Linked DNA regions of Arabidopsis thaliana. The protein of the gene in region 2 interacts with the protein of the main gene of each other region in a pairwise test. Each region holds a gene or a part of one and is shown on either strand. Other genes may lie near its edges.

Evidence for each region.
Region 1: the proteins of AT4G23030 (region 2) and PUP16 interact in a protein complementation assay, tested with the Arabidopsis thaliana proteins (one large-scale study listed by BioGRID).
Region 3: the proteins of AT4G23030 (region 2) and NHX3 interact in a protein complementation assay, tested with the Arabidopsis thaliana proteins (one large-scale study listed by BioGRID).
Region 4: the proteins of AT4G23030 (region 2) and GAMMA-TIP interact in a protein complementation assay, tested with the Arabidopsis thaliana proteins (one large-scale study listed by BioGRID).

What each region holds. Positions count from the first base shown.
Region 1 is NC_003070.9:3,203,482-3,206,988, forward strand, and holds PUP16 (purine permease 16), read right to left. Parts: upstream 1,829-3,507; 5' UTR 1,807-1,828; coding exon 655-1,806; 3' UTR 535-654; downstream 1-534. Other genes in the region: XBCP3 (xylem bark cysteine peptidase 3), read left to right, coding at 1-221, 308-394; AT1G09870 (histidine acid phosphatase family protein), read left to right, coding at 2,336-2,436, 2,630-2,717, 2,797-3,090, 3,205-3,363, 3,483-3,507.
Region 2 is NC_003075.7:12,070,824-12,075,110, reverse strand, and holds AT4G23030 (MATE efflux family protein), read right to left. Parts: upstream 2,352-4,287; 5' UTR 2,255-2,351; coding exon 746-2,254; 3' UTR 531-745; downstream 1-530.
Region 3 is NC_003076.8:22,468,745-22,474,699, reverse strand, and holds NHX3 (Na+/H+ (sodium hydrogen) exchanger 3), read left to right. Parts: upstream 1-1,993; 5' UTR 1,994-2,114; coding exon 2,115-2,279; intron 2,280-2,389; coding exon 2,390-2,508; intron 2,509-2,605; coding exon 2,606-2,703; intron 2,704-2,811; coding exon 2,812-2,871; intron 2,872-2,969; coding exon 2,970-3,016; intron 3,017-3,097; coding exon 3,098-3,292; intron 3,293-3,372; coding exon 3,373-3,419; intron 3,420-3,524; coding exon 3,525-3,591; intron 3,592-3,687; coding exon 3,688-3,788; intron 3,789-3,872; coding exon 3,873-3,974; intron 3,975-4,236; coding exon 4,237-4,381; intron 4,382-4,496; coding exon 4,497-4,559; intron 4,560-4,670; coding exon 4,671-4,754; intron 4,755-4,850; coding exon 4,851-5,147; intron 5,148-5,305; 3' UTR 5,306-5,455; downstream 5,456-5,955. Other genes in the region: SVL1 (SHV3-like 1), read right to left, coding at 1-85, 285-423; AT5G55460 (Bifunctional inhibitor/lipid-transfer protein/seed storage 2S albumin superfamily protein), read right to left, coding at 5,567-5,580, 5,687-5,955. UniProt on the Arabidopsis thaliana protein: May act in low affinity electroneutral exchange of protons for cations such as Na(+) or K(+) across membranes. May also exchange Li(+) and Cs(+) with a lower affinity.
Region 4 is NC_003071.7:15,443,565-15,447,158, forward strand, and holds GAMMA-TIP (gamma tonoplast intrinsic protein), read left to right. Parts: upstream 1-1,729; 5' UTR 1,730-1,925; coding exon 1,926-2,309; intron 2,310-2,400; coding exon 2,401-2,772; 3' UTR 2,773-3,057; downstream 3,058-3,594. UniProt on the Arabidopsis thaliana protein: Water channel required to facilitate the transport of water, diffusion of amino acids and/or peptides from the vacuolar compartment to the cytoplasm. Does not promote glycerol permeability. May play a role in the control of cell turgor and cell expansion.

The DNA.
Region 1 (3,507 bases), on a different chromosome or scaffold from region 2:
ATCCAAACCCGCCTCCACCGTCCCCTCCTGGCCCTACAAAATGCAACCTTTTCACGTATTGTTCATCTGGAGAGACTTGTTGCTGTGCAAGAGAATTGTTTGGTTTATGCTTCTCATGGAAATGCTGCGAGATAGAATCCGCTGTGTGTTGCAAGGATGGTCGTCATTGTTGTCCACATGATTACCCTGTTTGTGATACAACCAGAAGTCTCTGCCTTAAGGTATTTTAGCTGTGGATATATGCATACTGATCACGATGCCTACTTCTATGTTTTGTTGACTGATGAAGCTATTTCTTTTCTGACAGAAAACTGGTAATTTCACTGCGATCAAGCCCTTCTGGAAGAAGAATTCTTCAAAACAACTTGGCCGATTTGAGGAATGGGTTATGTGAGAGAAGTTTTACGCACATGTTACAGAAAATTCAAACTCATCCATACAAAAACCTCGTAGATTCGATTATCTGCGAGGGGATTATTTGTAGCTGTTATTGAGATAGATATATACGATATCATCACGGATGTATTTTTAGTCTCTCATTTGGATGTATACAACTTCTGAGTCAATAAAGGACACTTGCAGGACAAGCACAGTATTTGTATCTGCAAGACACATAAAGTAATAAGAGTATCATCTATGTATATTATAGAGAGACTAAGCTTCACTGTTGTTGTTCTCTCTCTTGTTCAGTTCTGCGATCTCCTTCTTCTTTTTTGTGTGCAGGGAGTAGAAGTAAGAAGCTAGAGCCAAGACCGCCCCTAGCAAAGCACCTCTTCTCTGCCAACCAAATTCATCGTCCATGAAATCAAAAGCCAACACAACTAGCAGAGCCACAACCGGTGAAGCACCCATATGAACAACATCAGCGAATAAACCGGACACCAAAAGCACCAAACCTAACAGCCCGACCGCCCAAACCTGCCAAGAGAGAGCCAACCCGACCAAACTCAGAATGTAGTAAGTCTTCCCTTTCTTAAACCTCTCGCTGTCGCCTTTTAACTCCTTAAACTCACCACTCGCAAACAGACCCACAGTGCAAATGAGTGTGGCGATGAAGGAAACACAGATTTGCATCTCCAAGACCATCCGAAAGACCTTCTTGTTACCATACCTCTTTGTCTTCACCAACACTTTGTCGAATCCGAGCTGCATTAAGCACAGAGACAAGGAGAAAGCAAGAGTAGGGAATATGAGTATCAACCATGCCTTGATGTCGTAAGGATCAGTTTCATCTTCATTAGGGGTTCCAGCAAAGGCAGGGCCACCAAAAAAGTCAGCCCCAAGAGTGAAGATTATCGATATGATGATCCATCTGTTAAACTTGAGACGGTTTATGAAAGCTGAGAAGAGGGAGGTGAGTATCAATTGAGTTGATAACAAAATTCCCCATCCTACGTATAATTTCCCCAGCGCGTATAACTTGCTATAAACAGAGACAAGAACACCAAGAGAAACGTAGAGCGAGAGAACTCGAAACCAGCCATTGTTTGTTTGATTGGAGACTGTTTCCGGGTTTGGTTTTGGTGAAGAAAGAATGAAGAAGAATGGAATTAAGATCGGAAAGGCAGCGTTTTGGATCAGAGCTTGTGTCCATGTCCCTTTGTATTGTCGGTCTTGATCACTCTCTGATCGATTATCTTGGACGTAGAAGAAGTTCAACAGAAGCATGACAAGAGAGTCTCCGGCAAAGATCAAGAAACCGCAGATAAAAACAGAGATCCACCATTTGCGTTGATTGAGCTCCAAGGATCGAGGATTCTCGCTCATCATTTGGCCGCGTGGTTCTGGACCTTGAAACTCTTCCATGAGTCTCTGCTTCTTCTTCTTCTTCTTCTTTGGATTGTCCAAATATGTATATAAAGTAATCTTATAAACCCTAGAGGCTGGAGCTCATTCTCATGATTGTTTAACGTGCAAACACACATTTTAATCTGGAAAGATAAAGAAGAGACGAAGTCTTGGTCACGAAATGGTCATGCTTTTGACTCAACGTTGCTTGATTAGGTCTCATCACATTTTTCTAATGAGTACATTATCTGTTAAGATTGGTTATTATATGATATCAAAGAGCATATTTGGCGGCAAAGGAGAAGACAAAGACAGCTAACAGGTTTAAATCGGTCCAACCGTAAAACCGACTTCAACCGGAACTGAACCAAAAAATTACAAAAATCTTGGAGATCCAAAAGACTTAAACCAAAAGACGTGTGAAGGGTCAACACGTGGCGTGAAAGGAGCAAACTCGTGTGAATCGAAGCAGTGGAACAGTGGCTTGTGGCTTGATTAATCGGAAACTTGAAAGCTTCCTCCTGAAGGAATTTAGAAAGCGTGAGAGATGGCGACGAAGACTGTTTGGATCATACTGTTGTGTCTATTTGTTGTTTCCCAGGCAGATCAGGGTTTCGATGTTCGTCATCACCTCTCCACCGTCACCAGGTTCTTTCTCAATCCTTCTTATTTCGTGGTTCCCGAGGAAGTTGAATTAAGAACAACACTTTATCATCTGGGTCTAATTGGTCCGATTGCTTGACAACATTGATACCACTTTGTCAGAAAAAGGTGGAAATTTGTGTTGTTCTCTTTAGCGAGGTCTAATTATTTTTTGGGGGAATTTGAATTTGGTGTGCAGATACTCTACTTCGAAAGATGTTACCCAAAATTTGATTGAAGGGTCGAATGTTCCTAGTGAGTGTACACCTATCCACCTTAACCTTGTGGTAAGCGTAGTTTATTTGGGTTAAATGGAATGGCAATGAGGGAGAATAAAGACTGAAATAGTGGTTTTTGACATGTTAGGCTAGGCATGGAACTCGTTCTCCGACCAAGAAACGATTGCGGGAATTGGAAAGTTTGGCTGGTAGGTTTAAGGAACTGGTAAGAGATGCAGAAGCTAGGAAATTGCCTTCAGACAAAATTCCTGGATGGTTGGGACAATGGAAATCTCCTTGGGAAGGAAAAGTGAAAGGTGGGGAGCTGATCAGGCAAGGGGAGGATGAGTTATACCAACTGGGAATTCGGGTTCGGGAACGGTTTCCTAGTTTGTTTGAAGAGGATTACCATCCTGATGTCTATACAATAAGAGCTACGCAGGTTGGTGGATTTTGAATCTTTTTATGTCTGTTTCTGCTCAGCAAAATTTGAGATGATGTGAACGCTAGAATTTGGTTGCAAGCATTGGCCTGAAATGTTTAAATCTCTTGGTAGATTCCTAGGGCATCTGCAAGTGCTGTAGCATTTGGAATGGGGTTATTCAGTGAGAAAGGAAATCTGGGACCAGGCCGTAATAGAGCATTCGCTGTCACTAGCGAAAACCGTGCCAGTGATACAAAGTTGAGATTTTTTGAATGTTGTCAAAACTACAAGGTATAGTTGATTGAATGAATCTAAATATATTTTTTATTGTAGGCTCATCCTCGATATAGTAGTCGCTCAGTTTATTCGATTCTGAGCATTTCTTTCCTTTACATGGTCTATGATTGCAGAGCTATAGAAAAGCTAAAGAGCCTG
Region 2 (4,287 bases):
TTTAATAGTCTATAATGCAAAATATCATATTCTTATAATAAGTTATAACCAAGTGGACACAATTTTGTTATTCAGATTTGAACTCTAATTTGGTATTTTGTCACCTCATGTGAATTTAACACCCCAAAGAAAAACATACACTGAAACGGGTCGGGTTAGTGGAAGAAAAGAGAGTAAACGAAGAAGACGACAAAGAGACCGGGTCATTCACGGCGTCGGCTGTCACAAACGACGACCTTGACGGAGACATTAGTATTTTCTCGCCGTCGTCAAAGTTTCACAACTCTTTCCGTTACGTTACTTACACGCGCCTTAAACGTCACGCGCCTATGGAGGACCACTAAACATGGTGTTTAATAATTATTTTTATTTTCTTGTTGCATAAGAATTTCCCGGCAACGAAACCAACTTCTATCTTGTCCTTTAATTGCTTAACCAGATTCATATATATTACACTCGAACCACTTGAAAAGGATAGTTTTATGTTTACACATTCAATTTCTAAAGTCATTCTCATGACAACAAATCACTCCCATGATATTTTTTTTGAAATGACATGAGGTTTAATACTAATAAAGTATATTTTTACAATCAAATCAAATCAACAACATTACATTTTAAAAAAAATCCAATATATATCTCACAACATAAATTTGAAAATCCAACAATCAAATGTTTCCTCCTAGAATAATGAATTAGAAGAGTGTACAATGAAACGAATCTCGTTAGTGCCAATAAATCAAAACTAGAAGACAAGATTTTCTTCTATATCCAAAGAATCCAATAAAAACGGTGTATTACCATCATCTTCATCACCATCACATGATCTAGTCATGAGTTCTTTTGCTCTATGAACCTCAACTTCCCAATCAGTCCTAGCCAACACGACCAGCATCGAAATCAGGCACGAGCCTTGTGCTGCAAATAGACCGAGCCATAGTCCTTTGAAGTCAAACCCGCTAAAGAAACTTAACCATACAGCCACTGGCATTCCCACAAAGTAGAAACAACACAAGTTTATGTTTGCTCCTAACTTAGGTCTCGCACTTCCTCTCAACACTCCACACAATGTGGTCTGAGGACAGTTTCCTAGCTCGCAAAGCCCGATGATCGGTAAAACCATTGAAGTCAACTTCACAATCTCTTCCTCATCTGTGAACAATCTTGCCCAGCAATTCCTCACCATCAAAGCGAAAAACATTGCCAATAAACCTAAACCAAGGCTTAAACTAAGTCCGGTTCTCGCAGCTATCCTCGCTTTATCAGGCTGATTCGCACCTAATTCATTCCCGACACGTGTCGATACGCTGATACTCAGAGAGGAAGGGAAAATGTAGATCAAAGCGGTGGTTTGGATCAAGATTCCCATAGATGCCACGGTTGCTTGCGGGTTAAGTAACAATCCACATAGAAGAATCATGATTTCATACCACCACCACTCTAAACAAACCGAGACGCAGCTAGGGATGGCTAGTTTCATTAGAGATCTCCATCCTTTAAAGCAATCCATTGAGAATCCTCCCCAAGTCTTCTGGTAAACACCGGAAAACACTATGTAGATGATTAGAAACCCTAGGAGATTGACATTAGTCCAGATTGCTCCCAAGGCGACTCCTTTAAGGCCGAGACCGAGAGAAGAAACGAGAAGGTAGTTAATCGGAATGTGGAGTAATACTGCGAAGAAAGCAGAGTAGGTTAGAGGAAGAGTGATCGATTGAGATCGGAGGTAGATACGGATAGGATGTAAAAAAGATTGGAGGATCAGATCAGGGAGAGAGAAGAGGATAAAGATCTCAGCTTGGTTTGAGATTTCTTCGTCTTGTCCGAAGAAGAGAAGGATCTTCTTGATGTTGAGCCAGAGGATAGATATGGGAAGAGAACAGAGGAGAAGCAAAAGTGTGGTTCTTTGCAAAGCAAGGCCTAAAAGTTTGAATCTTTTGGCGCCAAAGGCTTGAACGCAGATGGGTTCCATGCCGATAGAGAGACCGGAGAGGAGAGAGTAACCCGTGATGTTAGCGAAGCCGAGGGCGAGTGAGCCACCGGAAAGAGCAGAGAGATCGTTGAGACGGCCGAGGAAGAGCATTGAGATCATTGAGCGAGAGTAGAGAAGTAAACCGGTTAAGATCAGTGGGAGAGATATTTTGGCGATTGATTTGGCTTCTTGGATCGAAGAGGAAAGGTGGGTCGGGTTCGGATTCGGATCTTGTCGGTGATCTGTTTGGTTCTTGATGATCATCAACAAAGGAGCTGCCATGATTACAGGTTTGAGAGAGAAGAGAGAGACAGAGACAGAGAAAGGAGATGATGAAGAAGGTGTTGTTGATGTGTGAAAGGTGTGTTATAAGTTTGAGATTAAGTCACTAGTTAAGGTTAATAGTGATTAAGGCCCTTAAGGGAACAAGAGAAGTTTTTTGACTCAGAAATTAGTCTTAATTATAACAGAACAATTTTGGCGGTTTATTTGACCGGCCATTATGTCATTTGTTACGACTCCGTCTTAATTCAGAGACACTATTTTATTCTATTTTCATTTGTGGAAAACCAATAAAAAAAGTTTAAAGAAAATATGATTTTTGGATGTCTATTTGGAATCATTTTACTTTCTTCATGTTGATTTGGATTTTTTATATATATAATAGTATTGTTTTTCTTTGGATGTTTATGCAACTCTTTTCTTTTAATCATGGTTACGTTTATTAGGATTTTTGTTTCCATTTGGAGATAAGTTTCCAAGAAAATATTGATATTTGGATGTTTATTAAGAATTTTTTTTATTCACGATTAATTTATTGTCTGTATTTCGTTTAATTTATAGTTAGATACTTAGATACATACATACAATACAACTCAGCATAGAAAGAGTTGAAACTTGAGACGTTTTTGGGATTTCTATTCTTTAAATAATAAACCAGTGTAACAAATTGACTCATGTCGTTTCTTCCTCACTTTTAATAGTATTGAATTTGACCATTATGGGTAATTTTCATGTGCCAAAAAAAAAAAACGAAATGGATTCTTTACAAAATCAAATAAGTAACTGCTCGAAGTAGTAGTAAAGTAGTAAGCTAGTAGGGATGGACACAGATCATATACCAGAAAATTAAGCAGCTATACAGAGAGGTTGGTATCAAGTTGTTACGAAATACTAAGATTTAAAATTTTATGGACCATTTTATATAAAACTTGGGACGATGTTGATGCTTGCAATAAAGTGAGAAGAATTATATAGAATATTATACCTACTTAATGCTTATTTCTAAACTTCAAAACAATTTATTGGACCACTCTATTGATCATATAATCGAGGGGAAAATTATAGTTTGGCAAAAAAAAAGGCTTGCTTTCATAATTAGTTTCAAGAGAACTTAACAGAAAATAATAATTAGTTTAAAGAGAATATTTTTTATTAGTGTTTATTAATTTTGGGATAAGAATTTATTGTTTGTGCATAGATATAATACGATGTCACATGCTTCACCTCTATAGAATGTGGACCATTAATATAGCTTAAGGATGATGGGGAACAAAAATAACATTATCTTATCACGAGCTATGTCGATCGTTTATTATATTATAACAAAAAAAAAAATTAACAACTGTAAATAGAAAAAAATATATATATATAAACTATATGAAATAAAAATAAATACAAATGTAAATATAGAAGTAACAAACAAATATAAATAACATGATAAAAAAATTATAATTTACGTATTTCAGAGATTTTATATTTATATTTTTAGAAATGATTAGGGTTTCCAAGTCAAATTTTCGATCAATTTTCTAAGTTACAACTTACTGTTACTTTGTATATGAACGAAAGAGAATTGATTTCCTTTTGGACTAAAATTGTTGTCAAGTGTTTATTATGTTTTGATTATGTTTTATTTATGTGAAATTTCAGAGTATTTTTTCATTGTATCTTGAATATCAAATATCATTAACAAATTATGTGAAAATTAATTTACGTCGACTTAAAATTAGGTTAAGGTAATCTTGACAAGGAAAAAGGGCAAGGTTATCGAGGAATCTAATAGTGTTTTGGTTAAAATTAACAAATTTTTTTCATTAACACAATTGTGTTCCTAATTCTCATCACACTGTCTATAACGTATTTTCCTATAATCAGTATTACCGCATATACTTAATGGTTGTTCATCCATATGCATTCTAGAAACAATATCTTCATATGATCAAAGTAATTAAACAACAATATCTTGTGAGACAAAAGATGTCATATAGTCAAAAATGTTCAAAAATCTATAATATCCTTGGCATAGAATGAAT
Region 3 (5,955 bases), on a different chromosome or scaffold from region 2:
TGCGATACAAAACTGTAAGCATCGAGACTTGAATCTGGCAACAACCCAGAAAACCCACCACGAGCAATGACAAGGGGAGCATCTCCTACAAAAATGGAAACAAAATCCGATGAAACCTATAAGAAAGCTTCGATTTTTCTTTGGATGAAACTCAGAAAACCCCCAAATTTTTCTCTTTGATTTCTATGAAACGATTCAAAAGGAAGCAACTTTTCTACTGATTTATTGATTAACAGTGAAGGGTATTGAATAAATAGGAGAAGAAGGAGATAGAAGACACTAACCAGTGAGTGTTTGCCATGGACTTTTAGATCTTTGAGCAAAGAGTTGAGTAGACAGCAACTGGATCAAAATAAGAGCTAAAAATAGAAACTTTGAAGCTTGTAAGACATGCATTGTTGGATTATCTCGCATGTTTATCATCTGTAACAACCTGAGTTGTCCCGGCGGCGACTTCACCAACTTCGACCAAAAACTGAGATTTACTCAGAGAGAGAGAGAGAGAGAGAGAGAGAGAGAGCTTTTTGGTTTGTGGGATTCGAATTTATATGATCGTTGATTATTTTAAAAGGGAAAACAAAAGAACTTCGACTTTTTGTTTTTGACACATTTTTCCACTTTAAAAAGAAAACATCAACTAAAATTTTATTTTTTTGGTTTTTCATAAATAAACTAAAATGTTTTTCAATGTGTCTCCATATCTTTATTGCAGACAGAAAATATTGGGAGTGTAATTTTGACTCAATTTTTTTTTGAGAATACAAGAGTTTAATTTTCATGGGATAACTAAATAAGTTTTATTTTAAATTAGAATATAATTTTTTGATTGGTTGTCTCCAACCTAGAGAAACCAAACAATTGTTTTACATATATTTGTGTATTTATTTTTTATAGTTATGCGTTCTTCATTTATTACGACCTACTCTCTCTTTGTTTTTCTTTATTACTACCTACTTGTTTCCAAAACCAGCTAAACTATAAGCAAGCATAATAATAAACTATATAATGCATGCAATTGCAATATACATGTGTCAATCATTGGTCTTGTTATAATTAGGATTAGTGTAGAAACGGCTATTAGATATCAATTATATCCCTGCAATTTCTCCCTTAATCACTCCTATAGTAATTGGTGTATATCTGTTTTCCTCTACGGTACCAACAAATAAAAAGTCTACTGCGGGGAACGTATTTGTTTTTCTTGTTTCCTCTTCTCTTCTCTGTATATAAGAAAAATTGTATCATTCTAGTGATACTACCCATTACCCAATACGCATTCCAATAATGGCTACATTTACATATATGATATATGCATATACATATCACATATGAGCAGATTTATTATTTATCTAATATACACATTATATATCCGAATTCTATGTTTTCACGTTAATTATAATATTTACAAGTTTCTTAATTTATATTATAGCTATAATGATACTAGTATCTTAAAAAATGTTGAGAAGGCGGTGGTGGATGATCGATTAAAAGTCAGGTAGGTCCTAGAACATGGTCGTTAAAGATTACACGTGGTGAAATAGGTCGCTGAGTCACTTTTTACGTCATCAAAACACGACCAAACGAAACGATCACGTTCTAGCGTCTTGGCTGTTGCAACCGGGACCGTTACTCAGTAGAGTGTTTTATTTCGATTGGTTCGAGTCTTCACCAAATAATTCGTTGTAATAAATATTGAGTTTTCAAGTTTCATAATTTTATATAAACAGAATAAAGAACAAGAGGTAAAAATAAATTAAGGAAAAAGAACAACAATTTACGCGAGTTAGTTAGACCCAAAAAAGAAAAAAGAAAAAAATCCCCAAATCCGGTAAGAAAAAAATACATGATGAGTTAGTTTTGGGCCCTAAAAAGGCCCAAGATGCAGTACAATTCCAAAAAGCCTCACGTTTACTCAGTCTGATGACGTTGGAAACATGCCACGTGTCTTTCGTCTCCTCGCCACCTGTAACCACCGCCTTGTTCATCGCAGTTCAAATCTCTCCTCACTCTCTGACTCTTTCCTCGTCTCTCTCTCTATCGTTCTCTGTGTGCCTTCTTCGTTTGCGATTGGTGTTTTCAAAATCGACGAAATCGAAAACATTATCGAGTGAAAAATGAGTATCGGATTAACAGAGTTTGTGACGAATAAACTAGCAGCTGAGCATCCTCAGGTGATACCAATCTCAGTGTTCATCGCCATTCTCTGTCTATGTTTAGTTATCGGCCACTTGCTTGAAGAGAATCGATGGGTTAATGAATCTATTACCGCCATTTTAGTAGTAATTTTCTTCAAAATTTCTTCTTTTTTTTGTTTTAGCTAAAGTTTTGAGCTTTTCTGCTCTTAAAGAACAATTTTATCACTATTTTTGATTGGTTTTGTTGCAAGTAGGGAGCAGCATCAGGAACAGTGATCTTACTTATTAGTAAAGGAAAAAGTTCACATATTTTGGTGTTTGATGAAGAACTCTTCTTCATTTACCTTCTTCCTCCAATAATCTTCAATGCTGGGTAAGCTTACTATGGTTTTGGTTACTATGTTGTGGTTAATGGGTTAGATTACACTATGATGGTGATTGACTGAAGATTTTTTGGTTTGTTGTGGCAGGTTCCAAGTTAAGAAAAAGAAGTTTTTTCACAACTTTTTAACCATCATGTCCTTTGGTGTGATTGGAGTTTTCATCTCCACTGTCATTATCTCGTTTGGTAAAAAATATTTCATTAATCTTTGAATGACTTGACTATATGATTTAAAGTTGATTATCTCGGAGTTGTTACCATCTCTATTTTTGTTGTTTTTATAATGTGAACCAGGGACTTGGTGGCTGTTTCCCAAGTTGGGATTTAAGGGGTTGAGTGCTAGAGACTATCTTGGTAAGATTTTTCACTGATCTATGTTTCTTTTCATTTCTTGTTGAGATGGTTATTACTTATCAGTTTGCGAGAGTGAATGCTTTCTTGTTTTGATTCAGCCATAGGAACGATTTTCTCATCAACTGATACTGTTTGCACTCTACAGGTTCTTGATTTAGAAGATTCTTTGTCTTACTACTTCTTCTATTAAAAGTTTTTTCTTACATTGCATCTTAAACTTTTACAGATTCTCCATCAAGATGAAACACCATTGCTATACAGCTTAGTCTTTGGAGAAGGAGTGGTGAATGATGCAACCTCAGTTGTACTGTTCAACGCCGTGCAAAAGATTCAATTTGAAAGCCTAACCGGTTGGACGGCGCTGCAAGTATTTGGGAACTTTTTGTACCTCTTCTCAACAAGCACACTTCTCGGAATTGGTGTAAGCTATTGAGTTGGCATAGTTTTTTACTCTGTTTGAAGCATATCATGAGTAATCTTAGAACTGTGAATGTCTTGCAGGTGGGGCTAATAACATCTTTTGTTCTTAAAACCTTGTATTTTGGAAGGTAAAAGTACACCAAACTTGCAAATTTTTCATCTCAAGCTTAAGTTTTTTTTTTTTAGTGATAAGATGTGCCTTTATATTGATCTTGTTATATGGTTGCTGACAGACATTCTACTACACGCGAACTCGCCATCATGGTTCTAATGGCTTACCTTTCATATATGTTGGCTGAGGTAATACACTGGTCATGAACGCTACTTTTTAGTTTTCATTTGGAATTGAAGTGCTGCATTTCTCTGTTTTAACTCAATATAGTTGTTCTCTTGCAGCTCTTCTCATTAAGTGGAATTCTTACTGTTTTCTTCTGTGGTGTTTTAATGTCGCATTATGCATCATATAACGTGACAGAGAGCTCAAGAATCACTTCCAGGCAATGTATCAGACAATTGTTTATTCGCTGAAGTCTCAATTTGCAGGAATTGCTTTTGTCTGACTGTGCATCTATATTTTGCAGGCATGTATTTGCAATGTTGTCCTTTATTGCGGAGACATTCATATTTCTGTATGTTGGAACAGATGCTCTTGATTTTACAAAGTGGAAGACAAGCAGCTTAAGGTATAAAGTCGTATCCATTTATCAGCTGGTAGAGCGTTTAGAGTGTTTTGTCAAAACAATACACAGCATTTTGATATGAACCTCGTGTATTTCTTAAATGCATACCTAGAATCAAGATTATCCCAAAGACATCCTCTATGTCTTCTTCTCTCTTGACACGAAGTTAATCGCCAATTAACTGTTAGTTAAGCTGTGGTGGTGACTCGTTGTTTCTGAAATCTCTTCCCAATGAAGACTTGTAACATTAATCATCTTCTTGCAGCTTTGGGGGTACTCTGGGTGTCTCCGGTGTCATAACCGCATTAGTATTGCTTGGACGAGCAGCATTTGTCTTTCCACTCTCGGTCTTAACAAATTTCATGAACAGGCACACTGAAAGAAACGAGTCTATCACATTTAAGCATCAGGTTTAGCTCTTGTTTGTTACAGTTACATTATCAGAAGCACTAAAATAAAAAATTAATAATGGTCCGAGAATGGGAAAGTTTCTGTTATATAATTCTCTCTTTGTATACTTTATAGGTGATCATTTGGTGGGCAGGTCTAATGCGAGGTGCTGTCTCAATTGCTCTGGCTTTCAAGCAGGTTTTTCTCTTTGCACATTCATATTATCTCTAATCTCTATTGTATTACTTTTACATTGAATTAGTAACATTTCCATTATATCTCATTTTGGTATATCTTTCATGTGCCAAGTTCACATACTCCGGTGTTACATTGGATCCTGTGAATGCTGCCATGGTCACCAACACCACTATCGTTGTTCTCTTTACTACACTGGTAAAACAAATACTACCTTAGTATATGGCCCTACTGGTTCTGGTAGTTTTCTGTGTTAAGATCAAAAGAATGACTTCTTTGTCATGTAACAAACAGGTCTTTGGTTTCCTCACAAAACCACTTGTGAATTATCTCCTTCCTCAAGATGCAAGTCACAACACCGGAAATAGAGGTAAACGCACTGAGCCAGGTTCTCCGAAAGAAGATGCGACACTTCCTCTTCTTTCCTTTGACGAGTCTGCTTCCACCAACTTCAATAGAGCTAAAGATAGTATTTCCCTTCTGATGGAACAACCTGTGTACACCATCCACCGCTACTGGAGAAAGTTTGACGACACATACATGAGGCCTATCTTCGGTGGACCTCGTCGAGAAAACCAACCAGAATGCTAGGTATACCCTCCATTATTACCACACAAATTTATACATTTTGCAGCAAACGCACCTCACTTGATCAATAATGTGTAACCGGAATTAATAAGTACATCCGGGAAGAGGTGCCTACAATATTCATCATGATAAGCGAACAATTCTCTCTTTTTGTGTTGCAGAATTGATCCGGGTTCTCCGCGGGGAAATCATGATGAGTTAGTTTTTTTTATAGTCAAGAAAGTAGGATAGTTGGTTTAGCTAAAACAGTTTCTTAAAGTTTTTGTTAAATGTATACAACAAGGTTCTTCTATATACACAAGCTGCGATTATTACTGCGAGTTTGTAATTTATTTGGATCGGAACATAAGACATATTGTAAGACTTCAGATCAGTTGCAGGACAAGTTCGAGTGAAGTCTGCTAGAACGGTCTGTCTCCATCTCAGTTCCTCAAAGCTGCACTTACAGAACAGCAAAACGTAAGCCTTTTTTACTTCATACTTCATATTGGGATCCTACTAGTCTACCGGTTTTTAGTATCTTAATGGTATTTTGATTTTACCTTGGCAAGCAGGAGGGATTGTTGTCAGGCCACATTTGCTCAGAAGAGCCTGGACTTTAGATGGGTAAACCGCTAAAACGGGGAGAACAGACTTGAATCTGCAGATGCATTTCAGATTAGCGGCTTGGAGGAGTTCACAACACTCTTTGATTGGAGATGGCGGGTTGTCTCCAATTACGGCTGGACGACATTTTTCCAGATGGTTTGCGTTGATGTTACATGCGGTAATGCTCGTAGGTTCTTCCATCAACACCAAGGCGGCTAAAACT
Region 4 (3,594 bases), on a different chromosome or scaffold from region 2:
ATCAAGTTTTAAATAAGAAGGAGAAAAAGTCAACAAGGAAATGCACCAATCAATAAAGTGTCACCAAATATATGAGGAATTCCGATGATTAGCTAGCGTTTTGAAAATACTTCGGCTACTAGCTATGTTTTTGAGAAGTACGTACATGTGGTTGGTAAAAGAATACTGGAACATTGTCACTAGAACGTTCGTGATTGTACGCAGTATTCATGCCAGTTGATGTTGTGCACCATCAATGTTCATTATGTGAACCACCCAAAAAGGCAAAAACAATGGATCATCCACCTAACAATCCACCCCAATCTAGGTAGTTCTAAAATCACACGACTTACATCAAAGGAAAAGTTTCACATGTTTATCAATCACAGGTCACAGTATGTTTGAAAGAGATGATAGAAAAAAGATATCAAATTTGTCCCGTGTTGATAGGAAAGTTGGTTTGGTATCGTATTATAATTTTCTCTACACACACACGACTCATGTTTCATGTGTTAAAAAAAAAAAGCAATCGTTTTAATCCCTTCCAATTTATATAAATCTGCGGGCTCTGTTTTTATATAAAGAAAATTGGATCAGTTGTATGAACTTCGAACTGTGCAAAAAACTTCAAAATGGTTCAACTATTTTGTCAAGGCTTGTAAAATAAATAAAAATTAGCACACTGTTAAAATTTGTAGTATTATATTTAAAAAAAAAAAAGATCAAATTAAACAAAAGAAAAACGAAATTATCACGTCTTTTATTTATTATTATTTTAAATAAATAATATGACATTTTAAATTTTGTTTGGAAATTAATCACTTTCTGGCAGTACCTCTCAGCCGAATTGTAAACCTAAACCGCCCAAAAGGGACAGATTGCATCGTGGTGGTAGGACATTCATAAATTATTATTTTTCCTTAAGTGGAGGGCCGTCACACAATACTTTTTGCCCAATAGATAATTGGCCCACAAAATAAAATGCTAAAATAAATATATAATCTTTCTGTATGATTGTGAAAAAATGTGAGATTGTCTCGAATGTTAAAATTTGGTGCCACAAACAATATAAATATATAATCACAGAAAAATTGGTGCCACAAACAAGATAACATCTTATAATTTTCTCGTATACTTGGAGAGCGAGTTGAAAGAATTGCGATTAGAATAAAGCGTAGTGATTTGGCATTGAATATCATTTATGCTACATAATTCTACTTAGCGATAATATAAAAAAATATCATAACTTATGGTTAGCATGTAATGTCACTATACGAATATCAAATTCATAAAACTAGCCGTGACTTATCTACACAGAATTATTTATGTTTCGAGAATAAAGACCCAAGAGAAAACAACGACATTATAACAAAAAAACAACGACAGATTATAAGTAAGGAAGAAACAAATGACTATAGATTAGATATGAAATATTTTTAGTAACCATCTTTAGTTATAATTTTTGTTTTGGAGCTTGCTCCGTATACTCAGTTGAGTATTTTTACCACACATATATCAAGACTAAATTCTACCACTAATCAAGTAAAAACCTCTTAGCAAAATAGTTGGAGAAAAACAAGAATAAAATCGTATTATTTTCCTCTAGAACTATCGATCATTCGAGAGAGAGAATATGAAAAAGGGACAAAAGCTCTATACATGTACAAACATGACAAGTCATTATCCGCCACGTAGATTGGTCGGTTCCGCTTCGCTGGAATTATAGCGATGTACTTGTTTAGCCTGTTTTCAAAATTATTTAAATCTCTAACCGCTCCAATCAAATAATTTCTCCACCAAATATTAATAATATATCATCCGGTAACCGGTCACCAAAATGGCGCCACCTCAGATATAAGTAAGAGCACATAGTAGACCAGAAAAAATCATCAAATCCATCTCCCACTCTTCTAGCATCTTGAAGCTTAAATCTCAGCCGTCCGATCATGCCGATCAGAAACATCGCCATTGGCCGTCCAGATGAAGCCACCCGTCCCGATGCCTTAAAGGCGGCGTTGGCTGAGTTCATTTCAACTTTGATCTTTGTCGTCGCCGGTTCAGGCTCTGGCATGGCTTTCAACAAGCTCACTGAAAACGGAGCCACCACTCCTTCTGGTCTCGTAGCTGCTGCAGTGGCTCATGCCTTTGGACTCTTCGTCGCTGTCTCAGTTGGTGCCAACATCTCTGGTGGACACGTTAACCCTGCCGTCACTTTCGGTGCTTTCATTGGTGGTAACATCACTCTCCTCCGTGGTATCCTCTACTGGATTGCTCAGCTTCTCGGCTCCGTCGTCGCTTGCCTCATCCTTAAATTCGCCACCGGTGGCTTGGTATGTCAAACTACCCTTTAGCCCTTTATTAGATCTCTTTTTGGACCTAACTTCTTTGTCAAGTAACTAATTAACCTTTTGAAAATTTTAGGCTGTGCCGGCTTTTGGTCTCTCTGCTGGAGTAGGAGTGTTGAACGCTTTCGTTTTCGAGATCGTGATGACATTCGGGCTTGTTTACACCGTCTACGCTACAGCCATTGACCCCAAAAACGGGAGTCTTGGAACAATTGCTCCCATCGCAATCGGTTTCATTGTTGGAGCCAACATCTTAGCTGGAGGAGCTTTCTCTGGAGCCTCCATGAATCCCGCCGTGGCTTTCGGACCAGCGGTGGTGAGCTGGACATGGACCAACCACTGGGTCTACTGGGCCGGACCTCTCGTCGGCGGTGGAATCGCTGGACTCATCTACGAAGTTTTCTTCATCAACACCACACACGAGCAGCTCCCAACCACAGACTACTGAATTAATCTCTCTTTTTCTCTCTTGTGTAATTTTATTCGACTTTGAATTTGAATTTTAATGTCTTTTTAATTTCCGTTTGTGTAATTTCGAATCATCAAGGGGTTTATGATCGTTCGATCTTTTAGATGAATCCTTGTCCGTTGGTTTCAAGAGTGGCCATTGCAATTTCGACTATATAATGTGAATTATGTATCAATCTCATCTTAAGTTTTCAAGTGTTGCAATATCTCTTTTTGCCATTTTGTCAAACTTTTAAATTCCACATCAGTCTTATTACACATTAACTTTATTTATGACCGAATTTATAAGAAATGAGTAAACAAATTATGAGTAATAAAAAAATATGATATATAATTATATATATTTTTTAAAAAAACTAGAATTTGATACAAGTTTCGATCTATTTACGTCTAACAAAATTCACCATATCTTTAACAAAAAAAAAAAAAAAAAAAAAAAAGAAGAAGACAAATTAAATTCACCATATGTATATGTAAAAATTTGAAAGTTGGAATGGTTGGCGTTTTGCAATAAGGGAATAAAATGATATTGTAGGGGTCAGTCAGTGAGGGTTACTAGTCAATCAATACTCAATAGTGAATACGGCTTTTCTTTTTTTTATGTTGCTTTGTATTTGCATTTTGCAAAGGGTGTGAATTTAGAAAAATAAGATCCAATGAGAAAGATTAATCTGTTTTCCTTTTACTTATTTTAAGCAGTAAGATTGTTTTGCAATAGAGATCTCAAGTCTCAACCATACTTGTCAAACAGGTCCGACCAAAATCAAGACATGATTCGATGAGGTGCTAAGTTTGACGTTGC